Linked DNA regions of Saccharomyces cerevisiae S288C. Each later gene encodes a partner of the first gene's protein in a complex. Each region holds a gene or a part of one and is shown on either strand. Other genes may lie near its edges. A codon is read from its position in the direction of its gene.

Evidence for each region. Proteins that work in one complex are often made in the same cells at the same time.
Region 2: the proteins of ZIP2 (region 1) and SPO16 are in contact, whole or in part, in a crystal structure (PDB 6BZG), measured with the Saccharomyces cerevisiae proteins. Residues at the interface, in NP_011265.1 of Saccharomyces cerevisiae: Phe534 (codon at 3,578), Leu558 (codon at 3,506), Gly562 (codon at 3,494), Leu564 (codon at 3,488), Asp567 (codon at 3,479), Val570 (codon at 3,470), Asn571 (codon at 3,467), Leu574 (codon at 3,458), Thr575 (codon at 3,455), Glu576 (codon at 3,452), Phe586 (codon at 3,422), Gln591 (codon at 3,407), Asp596 (codon at 3,392), Phe598 (codon at 3,386), Trp599 (codon at 3,383), Lys600 (codon at 3,380), Lys602 (codon at 3,374), Leu603 (codon at 3,371), Tyr604 (codon at 3,368), Leu605 (codon at 3,365), Leu606 (codon at 3,362), Asn607 (codon at 3,359), Ser608 (codon at 3,356), Arg609 (codon at 3,353), Val610 (codon at 3,350), Asp611 (codon at 3,347), Val612 (codon at 3,344), Phe613 (codon at 3,341), Phe614 (codon at 3,338), Ile615 (codon at 3,335); in NP_012023.1 of Saccharomyces cerevisiae: Val17 (codon at 1,942), Glu18 (codon at 1,939), Val23 (codon at 1,924), Ser77 (codon at 1,762), Met79 (codon at 1,756), Ser90 (codon at 1,723), Ile91 (codon at 1,720), Ala92 (codon at 1,717), Tyr93 (codon at 1,714), Asp95 (codon at 1,708), Ile96 (codon at 1,705), Glu99 (codon at 1,696), Asp103 (codon at 1,684), Lys110 (codon at 1,663), Arg114 (codon at 1,651), Phe116 (codon at 1,645), Ile117 (codon at 1,642), Thr118 (codon at 1,639), Thr121 (codon at 1,630), Val123 (codon at 1,624), Arg125 (codon at 1,618), Tyr128 (codon at 1,609), Val129 (codon at 1,606), Tyr134 (codon at 1,591), Phe135 (codon at 1,588), Phe138 (codon at 1,579), Lys139 (codon at 1,576), Asn141 (codon at 1,570), Gln142 (codon at 1,567), Thr145 (codon at 1,558).

The regions. Positions count from the first base shown.
Region 1 is NC_001139.9:29,478-38,274, reverse strand, and holds ZIP2 (Zip2p), read right to left. Parts: upstream 5,178-8,797; coding exon 3,063-5,177; downstream 1-3,062. Other genes in the region: RAI1 (decapping nuclease), read left to right, coding at 1-658; BRR6 (Brr6p), read right to left, coding at 749-1,342; 3',5'-cyclic-nucleotide phosphodiesterase PDE1, read right to left, coding at 1,513-2,622; RMR1 (Rmr1p), read right to left, coding at 5,640-6,365; HFM1 (DNA helicase), read left to right, coding at 6,639-6,696, 6,849-8,797. UniProt on the Saccharomyces cerevisiae protein: Required for initiation of meiotic chromosome synapsis. Involved in synaptonemal complex formation, a structure that tethers a pair of homologous chromosomes along their lengths and plays a central role in recombination and homolog segregation during meiosis.
Region 2 is NC_001140.6:400,693-404,687, forward strand, and holds SPO16 (Spo16p), read right to left. Parts: upstream 1,991-3,995; coding exon 1,394-1,990; downstream 1-1,393. Other genes in the region: MTC6 (Mtc6p), read right to left, coding at 1-156; SPO12 (Spo12p), read left to right, coding at 742-1,263; RTT107 (Rtt107p), read left to right, coding at 2,274-3,995. UniProt on the Saccharomyces cerevisiae protein: Necessary for efficient spore formation.

The DNA.
Region 1 (8,797 bases):
CAAGTTTGAAACTTTGGCTACTCTTTCCAATCCGTTGCAGTATACACCCCGTGAAGTGATAGAAAAAAGAACTAAAAGGATTGTATCGCATGGAGATGAATACATTAGTGTTGTGAGAACTGGTGTAGGTAACTGCAAGTTAATTCTTGGTGCTGAGGTGGATTGTATATTTGACTTTAAAGAAAACGGTAGAGACAATTTAAAACATTATGCCGAATTGAAATGTACGCAGCAAGTTGCGAACATATCGGATACGCATAAGTTTGAGCGTAAACTGTTCCGGACCTGGCTGCAATGCTTCTTAGTTGGGATCCCAAGGATCATATATGGTTTTAAAGACGACCATTATGTATTAAAAACTGTGGAAGAGTTTTCAACGGAGGAAGTACCTGTTTTATTAAAGAACAATAATCCACAAGTTGGAAGTGCATGTTTAGAAGCCATTAAATGGTATGGTCTCCTTACTGAGTGGCTTTTGAAAATGATACCAAGAGATGAGGATCCTCATTCTCAAATAAGAGCATTTAAGTTGGTTTTCGAAAATAATCACCTAAGATTATCCGAAATTGAAGAAAGTGATGAGGAATATTCAGGTTTGATTGATGGAGAACATATATTATCGAACGGGTTTAAGGAGTGGAGAAAATCTTTGAAATAACAATATTCCTTTATGTCTTTCCTGCGCATATCCTCATCGACGTATGGATCTAAATAATATAAATGTGCAGATTAGATTAAGTTATATACACTATGCATGGCGAACCGATTTTGTATCTTTATTATTGAGATAAACCCTGTATGATCCGAAACTCGTATTGGTAACAAATATTATACCTATTATGCTAATTAAAATGAAAAGGAAAGATCGTATACTGAACGCTTCAAAAAAAGCATTTATTACCTCCGCCAGAGTACGAGCCCATGCTTTAGCCCATTGGTAATCGGAGCCAGACACTATTTCCTTGTTCATACATTTTGACCATTCATTGCAACGTACCTCCAATGCTGGAACCCTCATATGAGGTTCGCACTGGTTTTCAAAATACCTTGATTTGCAAGTTGCAATTTTATCTAATTCTTCCCTCACGTTATGCTCCAGTTTTAAGTTAACATCGTTTCTTATCATCAAAATGAATTTAATAGCAAGAGACAGTCCTATAGTTCCTATAATAAAATTGAAAAAAAGCTGTATATACTCCGCAATTAAACTTGGGCTCAACCAAATGCTTTGTCGGGCTAATCTAGCATCTTGCGGATGTTCACCTTCCAATACTTCCTCCCTTCCCAATCTTGGGTTAGCAAGTATGCCATCAGGCTGTCTAGAAAAACTACGGAGTTCCATTCCGGGACTTATGTTGGGATAGGGGATTCAAAGATGAGTCTACATAAGTTAACTCATCAATAATAATGGAAAGAAGTTTCATTAGTTACTACTAGTATTTTGCTTGCTCCCGGGTAATGAATTTTTCCGCTTTTCATCTACGTAGTATTATGTTATTGACGTTGTGTACATTATAGAAACAAAGTGTGGCCTTCTAGCGCAATAGATATTCTCAAGTCTCCTAAGTTCCTCTCCTCAGCTAAAAATCGTAACTCTTCGAGTATGGTTAGTCTTGGGTCTCTTTTAGCAGGTGTTGACTTAACGTGAGTAACGATAACATTCAAACCGCTTAATCCCTTACTACTGTTGTATAAAGTGTTCAAATTGGATAATTCGTTGATTAAATATATTGGAGATAGATGACCATACAATTGCTCGGGCTTGGAAGATAATGGGCATGAACATTCGACTAATATACCCTTGAGATGCACAAGCGGTATATTTTCAGCAACGTAAGACCAAAATTCTTCAAGTAGAGATTCTTCAGATTCTCTGCGGTCCTGCTCAACATCTCCGCAAACTATTATACAGTCTTTGCTTTTCCTGTCTCTGAAGATATAGAAGGTGCTGTATACCGGCGCGCCAGTCTTGACGCCTATCCCATGATGAACTTTGAACGGTATTACATCCCAAGGAAAGATAGTGCACTTTTGAACTTCCTTCGGATTCAAGCATTTTAGCTTCAATTTTCTTGAACGTTCTGCCGTTAAATCTGGCCATATTAAGTCATTAAAGACATGCTTTTGCAAAACGTCAATAGTATGCGGTAATCCCCAAATAGTTTTCTTTTTACTGTTTTCCTGCTCATATATTGAGGGGGAGTTTACTACCAGCCCACTAATATGGTCCAGATGGGGATGGGTAATGTAGTAGTCGGTAATTCCTTGGAAAACCTCGTAAGTTTTCTTCATTGTATTGGCGCTTTCAAAATGCTCTCCCTGCCTCTTTAATGATTGTAGCAAGGACTTGGATAATCCCTTTTGTATGTTCAGTTTGGAATCAATAAAAAACTCTATTGGCTCTCGATCATGTTCATAAAAGCTTGGAACAAGCTCATCATCACCTTCATTTTCATTTCGCCCTTGGACCAACATCTCCCGTAGCTGGTACATTCCTGCACCACCGTCTACAGCTATTAATTCTGGATCCTCTGTTCTAGCAGGCTTAAGTATAAAACACTGTGTTCCGTATTCGGTGGGTCCTCCATTGGCCCCAAGTATAGTTATTTCGAATACAACCATAAAAAGGAATATTGGTAAAAAAGGGGATGAAGAAGAAGAACCTCGTTAAAAGCCACTTTCTCTTGGAAATTTCTAAAAATATAAATTTCAGATATTGCTTCCCTCGAAAATGGAAAGGGTTTGACTATTGGTAATTTTTAGTTTCAAGTCACGCACCCTCACCAAAAAGTGCATCTTAATCAGTAACTCATTTTCCGTGCGGTATTTTTTTCGGGTTGTTTATTGTGACAGATGTAATATTATACATACGTTAACATATGATCTACAGATACTCCGATGATCCAAGGGTATAAAAAATAAGGTAAGGGTTAATTAGGTGGCTAGTTCATGTTAATAAATACATTTTCCTTGGTTGAATTTACTAACTGTAGCATGTAGTCGAAGAACGAAAGAGGCAGGCGTAGTATAAATAGTTTACCGGGTAACGATCCTTGCTGGATTTACCATTCTAAGGTTAATAACTTCTTCAGGCGAGTCATTTGTGAAACCGTAAGCATTTTAACAGCTTTGCTTTCTTCCTTTATTATTGCCATAAAAAATTCTTCGAGACTATATGTCTGGAAAATTTTCCGTACTAAGAGGATGTTAAATCCCAAATCTAGAAGAATATCGGCATTTGCAATATTTTTTTCTTTCTCATCGTTATATGAAAAGGCCCATCTTGCAATGAAATATTTCATCCAATCAATAAAAAAGTCAGTAGTCTCATGAATGAAAAAAACATCAACACGTGAATTCAATAAATAAAGTTTGATTTTCCAGAAAAGATCAGGATCAACGTCTTGTATTATTTCAGAAAACTCCACAATTATAATGACTCTCTGAAATTCAGTTAAAAGATCGTTTACCGCTTTATCGTAATGCAATGAGCCGTTATTTCTGAGTTGCATAAATCGGCTCGCCTGAATTTTATATACACATGTTGAATGGTTTATAATGAAATCGCATTCGCCAAAGTAAGATTGTTCGATAAGGTCTAGATGGGAATTTTTACATAATGACTGAATTACCTTTTGGTTCTCAATCACCTTGTTTTCATTTACGGCTATGCATTTATTCTCAATATCTTCTTCCAATATTGAATGCTTTACTGAGTAGTTATTAAATGAGCAATCTTCCTTTCCATTGTAAACTGAATTAGAGGTAGGAATTTCAATATGAGAATTTGCATATGTCCCAGAATTTATCAAGTATGAAGTGGAAGATATACCGGTGTCACTAACATCCTTGTCCTTCTTTATTTTTTTTTTGGTGACTAACATGGACATTAGTTCATTATCGATGAAAGATCTCTTTTGAGGAGCTAATGATGTATTAATATCCGCCTTAGATGAAAGACAATCATTTTCATCAAATTCTTGGGTTTCAATAGCAGTTTCATCGTGTCTTTCACTTTCTTCAATTGACTGATTTTCAGTTTTTTTTACATCTGGCATACTCATTGCAAGCTTTATACTACCAAACGTCTTTTTTTGATTATCGATCAGGTCAAGGGAGCCGGAATCTAATTTTTGAAAAGTTAACCTTAATGGTTTGATCGAATAGGCCTCCCTATTTATGGTAACATGCTCAAATATTGCATACCTAGAATGATTGCAAATTCTTTTCAGAGGATCCCATACCAAATCCTTTAGGTCTTCTTTTTCTAGACACCATATTTTATAGTTCTTTTTCTCAATTGGCTTATTCTTTTTCAATTTTTTCATTCTTATTTTAAAAAATTCTAGTTTATTAAATTGAGCATCAAAGAGTTCATCATAACGTTTTTCAAACGTATTAAGCTGTTGATCATGTTCTGGGACTTTCACAACCCAGCTTTGCGAACTGGTCTTGAAATTGTACTTACTGCACCTACTCTTATATTTGAAAGATTTCTCAGGTGAGATCCGTTGTAAACGGTATCTATTGTAGGTTTGCTCAAAAATTTGGGGCTTCCATTCTGACAAAGGTTTATCAGAAAATCCAACGCAGAAGTTCAACTTTTCCTCCGTTAGTGTGCTGCATTGCACTTCCAGTACAGAGGACATTTGTCTTAAACTCGGATATGGTACCTTTTTCCTGTATTGACTTCTTCTGAGAAGTGGGATGTTGAACCACTCTAACCTCGTGTTATCGTCTGCCAAACCGTGTTCCGTCATTTTTTGGTGAAGAGGAGCATTTAATTGAACTGAAAGACTTTTCATCCAGCTAAAAAATAACATGTCCTGTTTCCCGACTTTTAACTTTTCCTTGAATAACTCATACTGTAGTTCTTCTTTGTTGTCATTCTCAATGTTAGTCACATTCCATGTTTTGCCAACGGCTACATCTATTTTTTGTCTTCCAGAGGTGATGTGAATTACCTCCAAAAAATACTCTTCACCATTGATCGTGCCGCAGTTTTCATACCCTCCGATTTTCAGTGGTTTAAGTTGCAAATTTCTTAGCTCTTTCAAATATTTTTGTGCTCGTCTTCCCAGTTTGATGTTTTCTTTTAAGTTTCCTGACAGAACAGAATAGCCGCCCACATTTTGGTTACATTTAGATAACTTTACTTCCCAACGTTCAATAATCATAGTATTTTTGTAATATGATCTATTTCTCTAAATTGATTCAATTACTCGAGCTCGTTAACAATGGTGTGGCACTATTGAGTGATTTTCTTCTCCTGAAACATATTTTATGCTTGTATTTTACATATCCTAACAGAAAATACTTTCAGCAATTCTTCCGAAAGTAAAACTTGAAAAAAATTGAAGAAAATGACGAAAAAACAATACAAAACAATAATACAATTCGCTACAAAAAAGGGGGAAGGGCTATCAGAAATCGAATATGGACCTTTGCATCATCCAAAATTAATGAATACTTAACTGCTGACTATACAAACGAAAAAGAAGGCGACCTTAAATATTACACAGAGCCAATAATTTATTCGCGGGAGAAGATTCTCAAAAGGAATCCGTGACTGGGAAATCAGAAACTCACCGTTGGACATCAGGATTTCCCACGATCAGTGCTGATTAAACATGGCTACTTTAGTCTTCAGAATCCTCACCTACGTCATCATCTATGTCCATTACAATGACTTCTGAAGTATTCTGGTGTGTATATTGGTCATTGTCATCCACAATTAAGGGATGCGTTTCATCGTTAGAAAATGGCTTTATGTTTTTCAACGTAGCTGAGCTTTCAGTTAATTCAACCAAGGCGTTGTACCGAGAGACAAATCTTGGCCTTGTACTTAATTCAATAGCCAAGTGCGTCGGTATATCAGTTTCAAAATTAGACTCCGATCTTTCCTTCAGGATTTTAAATATAGTATAAACATCGCTGAATGAAATATGGTTGTTGTAGACATTATCTTCGAACAAGGTCAAATCGAGGCTTTTCAGTTGTAAAACCAACTCCTTCGTAGCAAAAGCCAACCTGCCAAAACGATTTCCCATAAATTTACGAATGGATTCCATGAATTCCCCCATGGGTCGCTGATAAAGAGCAGCGTTTTCACATATTATGGGGTTGTTACTTTCGTTCTTATCATCCGACGTGAACAACAGAAATGTAGTATCTTTATATTCCACGGTGACTTTGGGCAATTCGCTTTTCATTAAAGTCTCTGCCACGTTGCGTATACGGGCGTCCGATGGTTGTTCCTCCACGAGTTCATCATCATACTCCAAAAGGTCTTCTTCATCGCCCTCATCCAATTGAACCCCGACGTCATCCACCTCCACTGTTTTATGCGCTTCTTCTTCACTCATCTTTGATTCCATTGATACCAACAAAAACAATCTTTAACTACGTATCTTTTCCTTTACGTATATATAATTAATCATATATACTTCCCTTTTTTATGCCTTGTTGTAGTTTTAACATATCATGTACCACGAATGGATGCAGGCTCGGCGGGTATTTAGACTTTGCCCCGGATTATAAACAAAACGGGACTATTAGTATCATCTATCAAGAAATCCTTTCATTGAAAATGATTGATACCTCAAGGTGGATTTGACAACTTAAGAGGCGTCGTAAGGATGAAAACAAAGTTTGATCGCCTCGGTACAGGAAAAAGAAGTAGACCCTCTCCAAATAGTAGTAACGAAGCTTAGCAACACCCTTATCAGTTTACACCATATCGGACAACAACAGTATTTTGACTAACATTGTTACCTCTTTCTTTTATTATCTAGCGGAAATGCAACCAAAAGTGGTTTTTCTGGACTAGAATTTCAGAGGACTTATAGATATTGACTTTAACGACCAGTCTGCTACATTTAAAAGAAATAAGAAAAATAGCCGCCAACCAAGTTTTAAAGTAGGTTTGTCTTATAACAGTTTACTGGATGATTGTGATGATGAAAATGAAACAGAGGAAATATTTGAGGGCCGTGGTCTGCAATTCTTCGACAAAGACGATAATTTTTCAATAACAGCAGATGATACACAAGTAACTAGTAAATTATTTGATCACGATTTAGAGCAGACACCTGATGAAGAGGCGAAGAAACCTAAGAAGGTCACGATAAGGAAATCAGCGAAGAAATGTTTGAGCACGACCATATTACCAGATTCATTCAGAGGGGTTTTTAAATTTACAGAATTTAATAAAATGCAATCAGAGGCTTTTCCTAGTATTTATGAGAGTAACGAGAACTGCATAATTTCTTCACCAACCGGATCAGGCAAGACTGTATTATTTGAATTGGCAATATTACGTCTTATAAAGGAAACAAATAGTGATACCAATAACACCAAAATTATATACATCGCGCCAACCAAATCTCTATGTTACGAGATGTACAAGAACTGGTTTCCTTCCTTTGTGAATCTTTCTGTTGGTATGCTTACTAGTGATACCTCTTTTCTGGAAACTGAAAAGGCTAAAAAATGTAACATAATAATTACGACACCAGAAAAATGGGATTTGTTAACAAGAAGATGGTCCGATTACAGCCGATTATTCGAATTGGTCAAACTTGTCCTAGTTGATGAGATTCATACCATAAAGGAGAAAAGAGGAGCATCTTTGGAAGTAATTCTGACAAGGATGAATACAATGTGTCAAAACATTCGGTTTGTTGCTTTAAGTGCAACAGTTCCAAATATAGAAGACCTAGCATTGTGGCTCAAAACTAACAACGAGCTTCCTGCAAATATTCTTTCTTTTGACGAATCGTACAGGCAAGTTCAGTTAACGAAGTTTGTTTATGGGTACTCCTTCAATTGCAAAAATGACTTCCAAAAAGATGCTATATATAATTCCAAATTGATTGAAATAATTGAAAAGCATGCCGATAATCGTCCCGTACTAATATTTTGTCCGACTAGGGCTTCAACTATATCAACAGCAAAATTTTTATTAAATAATCATATTTTTTCAAAAAGTAAGAAAAGATGTAATCATAATCCCTCCGATAAAATATTAAATGAATGTATGCAACAAGGTATCGCTTTCCATCATGCTGGAATTTCTTTAGAAGACCGTACTGCCGTTGAGAAAGAATTTCTTGCAGGTTCAATTAATATATTGTGTTCAACTTCAACGTTAGCTGTTGGTGTGAACCTTCCCGCATATTTGGTCATTATCAAAGGCACCAAAAGTTGGAACTCTTCTGAAATCCAAGAGTATTCAGACCTAGATGTACTGCAAATGATTGGGCGGGCAGGAAGACCTCAATTTGAAACTCACGGGTGCGCAGTAATCATGACAGACTCTAAAATGAAGCAAACATATGAAAACTTAATTCATGGAACTGACGTTTTGGAAAGTTCATTACATTTGAATTTGATCGAGCATTTAGCAGCAGAAACCTCTTTGGAAACTGTATATTCAATTGAAACTGCAGTAAATTGGCTACGAAACACATTCTTTTACGTTAGATTTGGGAAGAATCCAGCTGCATATCAAGAGGTGAACAGATACGTTAGTTTTCATTCCGTTGAAGACTCTCAGATAAATCAATTCTGTCAGTATTTGCTTGACACCTTAGTAAAAGTGAAAATAATCGATATCAGCAATGGGGAGTACAAATCTACAGCGTACGGAAATGCAATGACGCGACATTATATATCCTTTGAGTCGATGAAACAATTCATTAACGCAAAAAAATTTCTATCATTACAAGGGATACTAAATTTACTGGCCACTTCTGAAGAGTTTTCAGTTATGAGGGTGAGGCACAATGAAAAAAAA
Region 2 (3,995 bases), on another chromosome or scaffold:
CCTAAAGGCCACCGTCATTTGAGGGGACATCGTCGGCCAGACAGATGCTGAAACGGTCTCATTCAGATCATCGCCAACTGTCGTAGTAGAGTCAACAGCAGTAACCCACGTTCGCAGTGAGGACCATATGATAAATAGGTATATGAGTATCCACATACCGTGTCTATAACGATGCGAATGCAAATGAACAAAAGAAAAAGGGAAGAATAGAATGGAGATAGTCTTTGAAAAAGCGAGGTTAAAAGCGACTAAAAAATACCAGCAAAAAGGTGACAAATAAAGTTAAACAGGGTGTATCTCACCGTGCAGCGAACACTTCAATGTGACTTGCTCAGCCAAAGACTCATCAACATTTATGGAAATTTCAATGATTCCCATTGTATTGCCTCTTCCCATTGTGGAAAAAAGAAAAATGCCAAAATTGCAAACCCTAATTTAAAAGGGTTACAGAAAAAAAAAAGCAGGTCTGAAATGCAGTTCGCCATGGTTAATATCTTTTCCTAATTTGGAAATATGTAAACAGGGCATCTTTCCTTTTTTTCTCCTAATGAAAATTGTAAGCAAAAGCATGAAACAATACTGCCACAAGAGGAGAATTCCTCCTTTTGAAGTCTAAAGCGCCATTTCAAACTAGTTTTTAGGAGGTCAGCCAAACGTTCATTCAGATTAGTTACTATCTTGGAATACTTCTAGTAGGAAAACAAAATAACATATACAGTAAGAACAATAGAAAACGTATTTATGTCCAACAAGGCAAGTGACCAATCAGCACGCACGGCTTCCATCCTCAAGACTGATATTACCAGAGAAAACACAATCACCAGAAGCAGCAGCAGCAACAACGACAACTACCATCACCACAATAACATCAATAATTACAATGAATCGGCGAAGACAGGAGAGGACGCCAATAAAGAGAATATACCTAATTTAGAGGAGGAGATTGCGGCCTTTCGAATTTTTAGGAAAAAAAGCACTTCAAACTTGAAGTCGTCACACACCACTAGCAATTTGGTAAAAAAGACAATGTTCAAAAGGGATCTTTTAAAACAGGATCCGAAGAGGAAACTCCAACTACAACAAAGATTTGCATCACCGACTGACAGGCTGGTATCACCATGCTCATTGAAATTGAATGAGCACAAAGTTAAGATGTTCGGAAAGAAAAAGAAAGTCAATCCTATGAAACTGAACTTTAAAGGCAACCTTGCTGCCGATTCAGAGGATGTAGAAATCGATGAAGATGAGGAGTATTTCTACTAAAAAAATCTGCCTTTCTAGTCATCCAAAAATAGCCAAATGCTACACTAAACCAATAAGCAAACGAGTACATAAAGAATAAGTAAATAATAATTCAACAATACCTGATTTTTTTTTTCTTACATTTTTTTTATTATTCATTAAAAGCAACCACCAAGCTTTCCAAATTATGAAACCTTGATAAAATGGCTTCAAAATCTTGATCTGGAATTCCGTTTTTTTTGAAGAGGTCGAAAATTATTTGCTTGATTAGAATTTCAAAATCAATAAACTCGTCCATATCCACGCTGTTCCGTGTCAAACGCTGGTTAGCTTTAAAAGCTAGAAAATATTGATTGTTTTCAACATATCGACTTCTGTCTACTGGTGTAACCTCTGTAATAAAGTAGCGGGCACCCGTTTTCGATGGTCCATTTATTAGATCTAGTGACCTCTCCAATAAGATATCCCAATAAGCTATTGAGAATTTCAAGCGCGTGAAATTCAAATTTATCATCAGAGAACGATGTGCGGGAACTCCAGGGCTTTTCTGTATTTTCTCATAGACATTATTTATCAGTAATTGCAGCTGTGTAACAATAAAATTGACGCCACTTTCTTCGTCTTGTAGCTCCTCGTTAAGCTGCGAAATTAACCTGCTCGTATTCACAGTAACACACTTAACCACAGAATGTTCTTCGACATTAGAAATCTCTTGTATTTTTTGTACATCCCAAAAGAATTCAGACATTTCTATTGAACCATTCCAGAAATGTTGTTCCAGAAGTTTATTCTCTTGAACCTTTACACTATTTCGTATTTTCTCGGTTTTAGCCGCCCACTTTTCACGCGTTAACAGGGTAAGCTATATCAGATGTGACTTTTCTTTTTCACTCATCTAATGTTGTTTTTCGCGTCACATTTTTTGCCAATAAATAAATACATCACAATGTTCTATATTGTATATTCAATGGAAGTCATTAGGTTATTGGGCAAGATTTCAAGGAGGTAGCATACTGGTAAATATACGATCCATGAGCACATCACTTCTGTTTGAGCAGCTAAATTTTTTAATTTTAGTGGCAGCAGAGGCTGAGCTTCCCATCGCTCACTCTACTAGAAAGCTTTTGATGGATAATTCATGCAATAACTGTCAAATATACGAGCTTTATAACGAAAATTTGAAAGATGTCAAGACGGATAAAGATTGGTTCATGAACAAATTCGGCCCGCAAACAGTACATTTTGTCATTAGTAATACAATCAACTTTCCTTTTTATAAGATAGTTTATTTCGATCTTTTGATCCCGGTGGTATCACACACTTGGGTCCAGGATTCGGTCAAGACGAAGAGACATTTGAGGACAAATATGTATTCACCTAACCCATTTCATTTGCTCCGAGACTGTCAAGTATATATTTCCAAAAGCTCGTTTAATAAGTGTGAATACATATTATACTCTGATTTGCTTCATTTATTAGGAGGCACTTTAGTCAATTACATCTCAAATAGAACGACGCATGTGATTGTTCAAAGTCCCCAGGACCCGATCATAGCAACGGTCAGTAAATTGACATTTGGCTCTTTTTCCTCTTCATCGACCAACAAGCACACCGAAAAGCCTTTGAGAGAGTGGAAATTTGTCTATCCAATATGGATATTATATCATTTCAAAATGGCGAAGCCCTTGAAGGGCGAGCTTGCTACTTTGTGTGAGCTTGATATGCAGGACACCAGTGAGGAACAGTTATTCGCAAAATGGGAAGAGGTTATTGGCGATAAGCAGACATCATCATCGCAGCTTACTCTTCATCCAAACAAAACTTTATTCAAAAATCACCACTTTGCTATCTCACCAGATTTAAACTTTTTCACACCTTTGTATTGGTTTTTGAAAGGATTTATCGAGGATTTGGACGGCAAAGTAACTCCGTTGAGTTTTTCTGACGATCTGAAGTCTGTTTACCAAGCTTTTCCTGATATTGACTGTTATATCGGCCACTCTGCTAACTCACCGATACTAGAAAAAACCAAAAGCATTAAACCGGAAATTCATGTTGGGAACGTAAGTTGGTTGTTTTATATGTTTGCGCTGCAAAAATTTACACCTGTATCGCAATGTAAACTTATTCACCAACCATTTCATGCGAAATTATTTACTTCTAAGGAATTAACAGTCGCGTACACTAATTATTTCGGCTCCCAAAGGTTTTATATTCAGAGGTTAGTAGAAATATTAGGAGGACTTAGCACACCTGAACTAACAAGAAAAAACACACACTTGATCACGAAGAGTACAATTGGCAAAAAATTCAAAGTCGCAAAAAAATGGTCACTGGACCCGCAAAATGCCATTATTGTGACAAATCATATGTGGTTAGAGCAATGTTATATGAATAATTCCAAGTTAAACCCCAAAGACAGTAGATTTCAAAATTTTAAATTGGATGATAACATGGGATGGAATATCGGCCAAATAGGAATGGATCATTCATCTCTCCCAACTCCAAAAAACCTATCGATGGTGACTTACGACACGCAATCCATATCAGAGAAGCCGCCTCCCACAAATGATCAAATGGATCAAATTAACGATAACACCAATGTATTATCAAAGAAAGATGGTACGCCCATTAGTAGTTTTGAGAACTCAATTGATGAAAAGATTGACAAATTACAAAAAATATCAGGAGAGGTGGCTGTAACCCATTCTGGAGATTTAGAACGGAGTTTTGTTTCCAGACCTTCAAGGGCA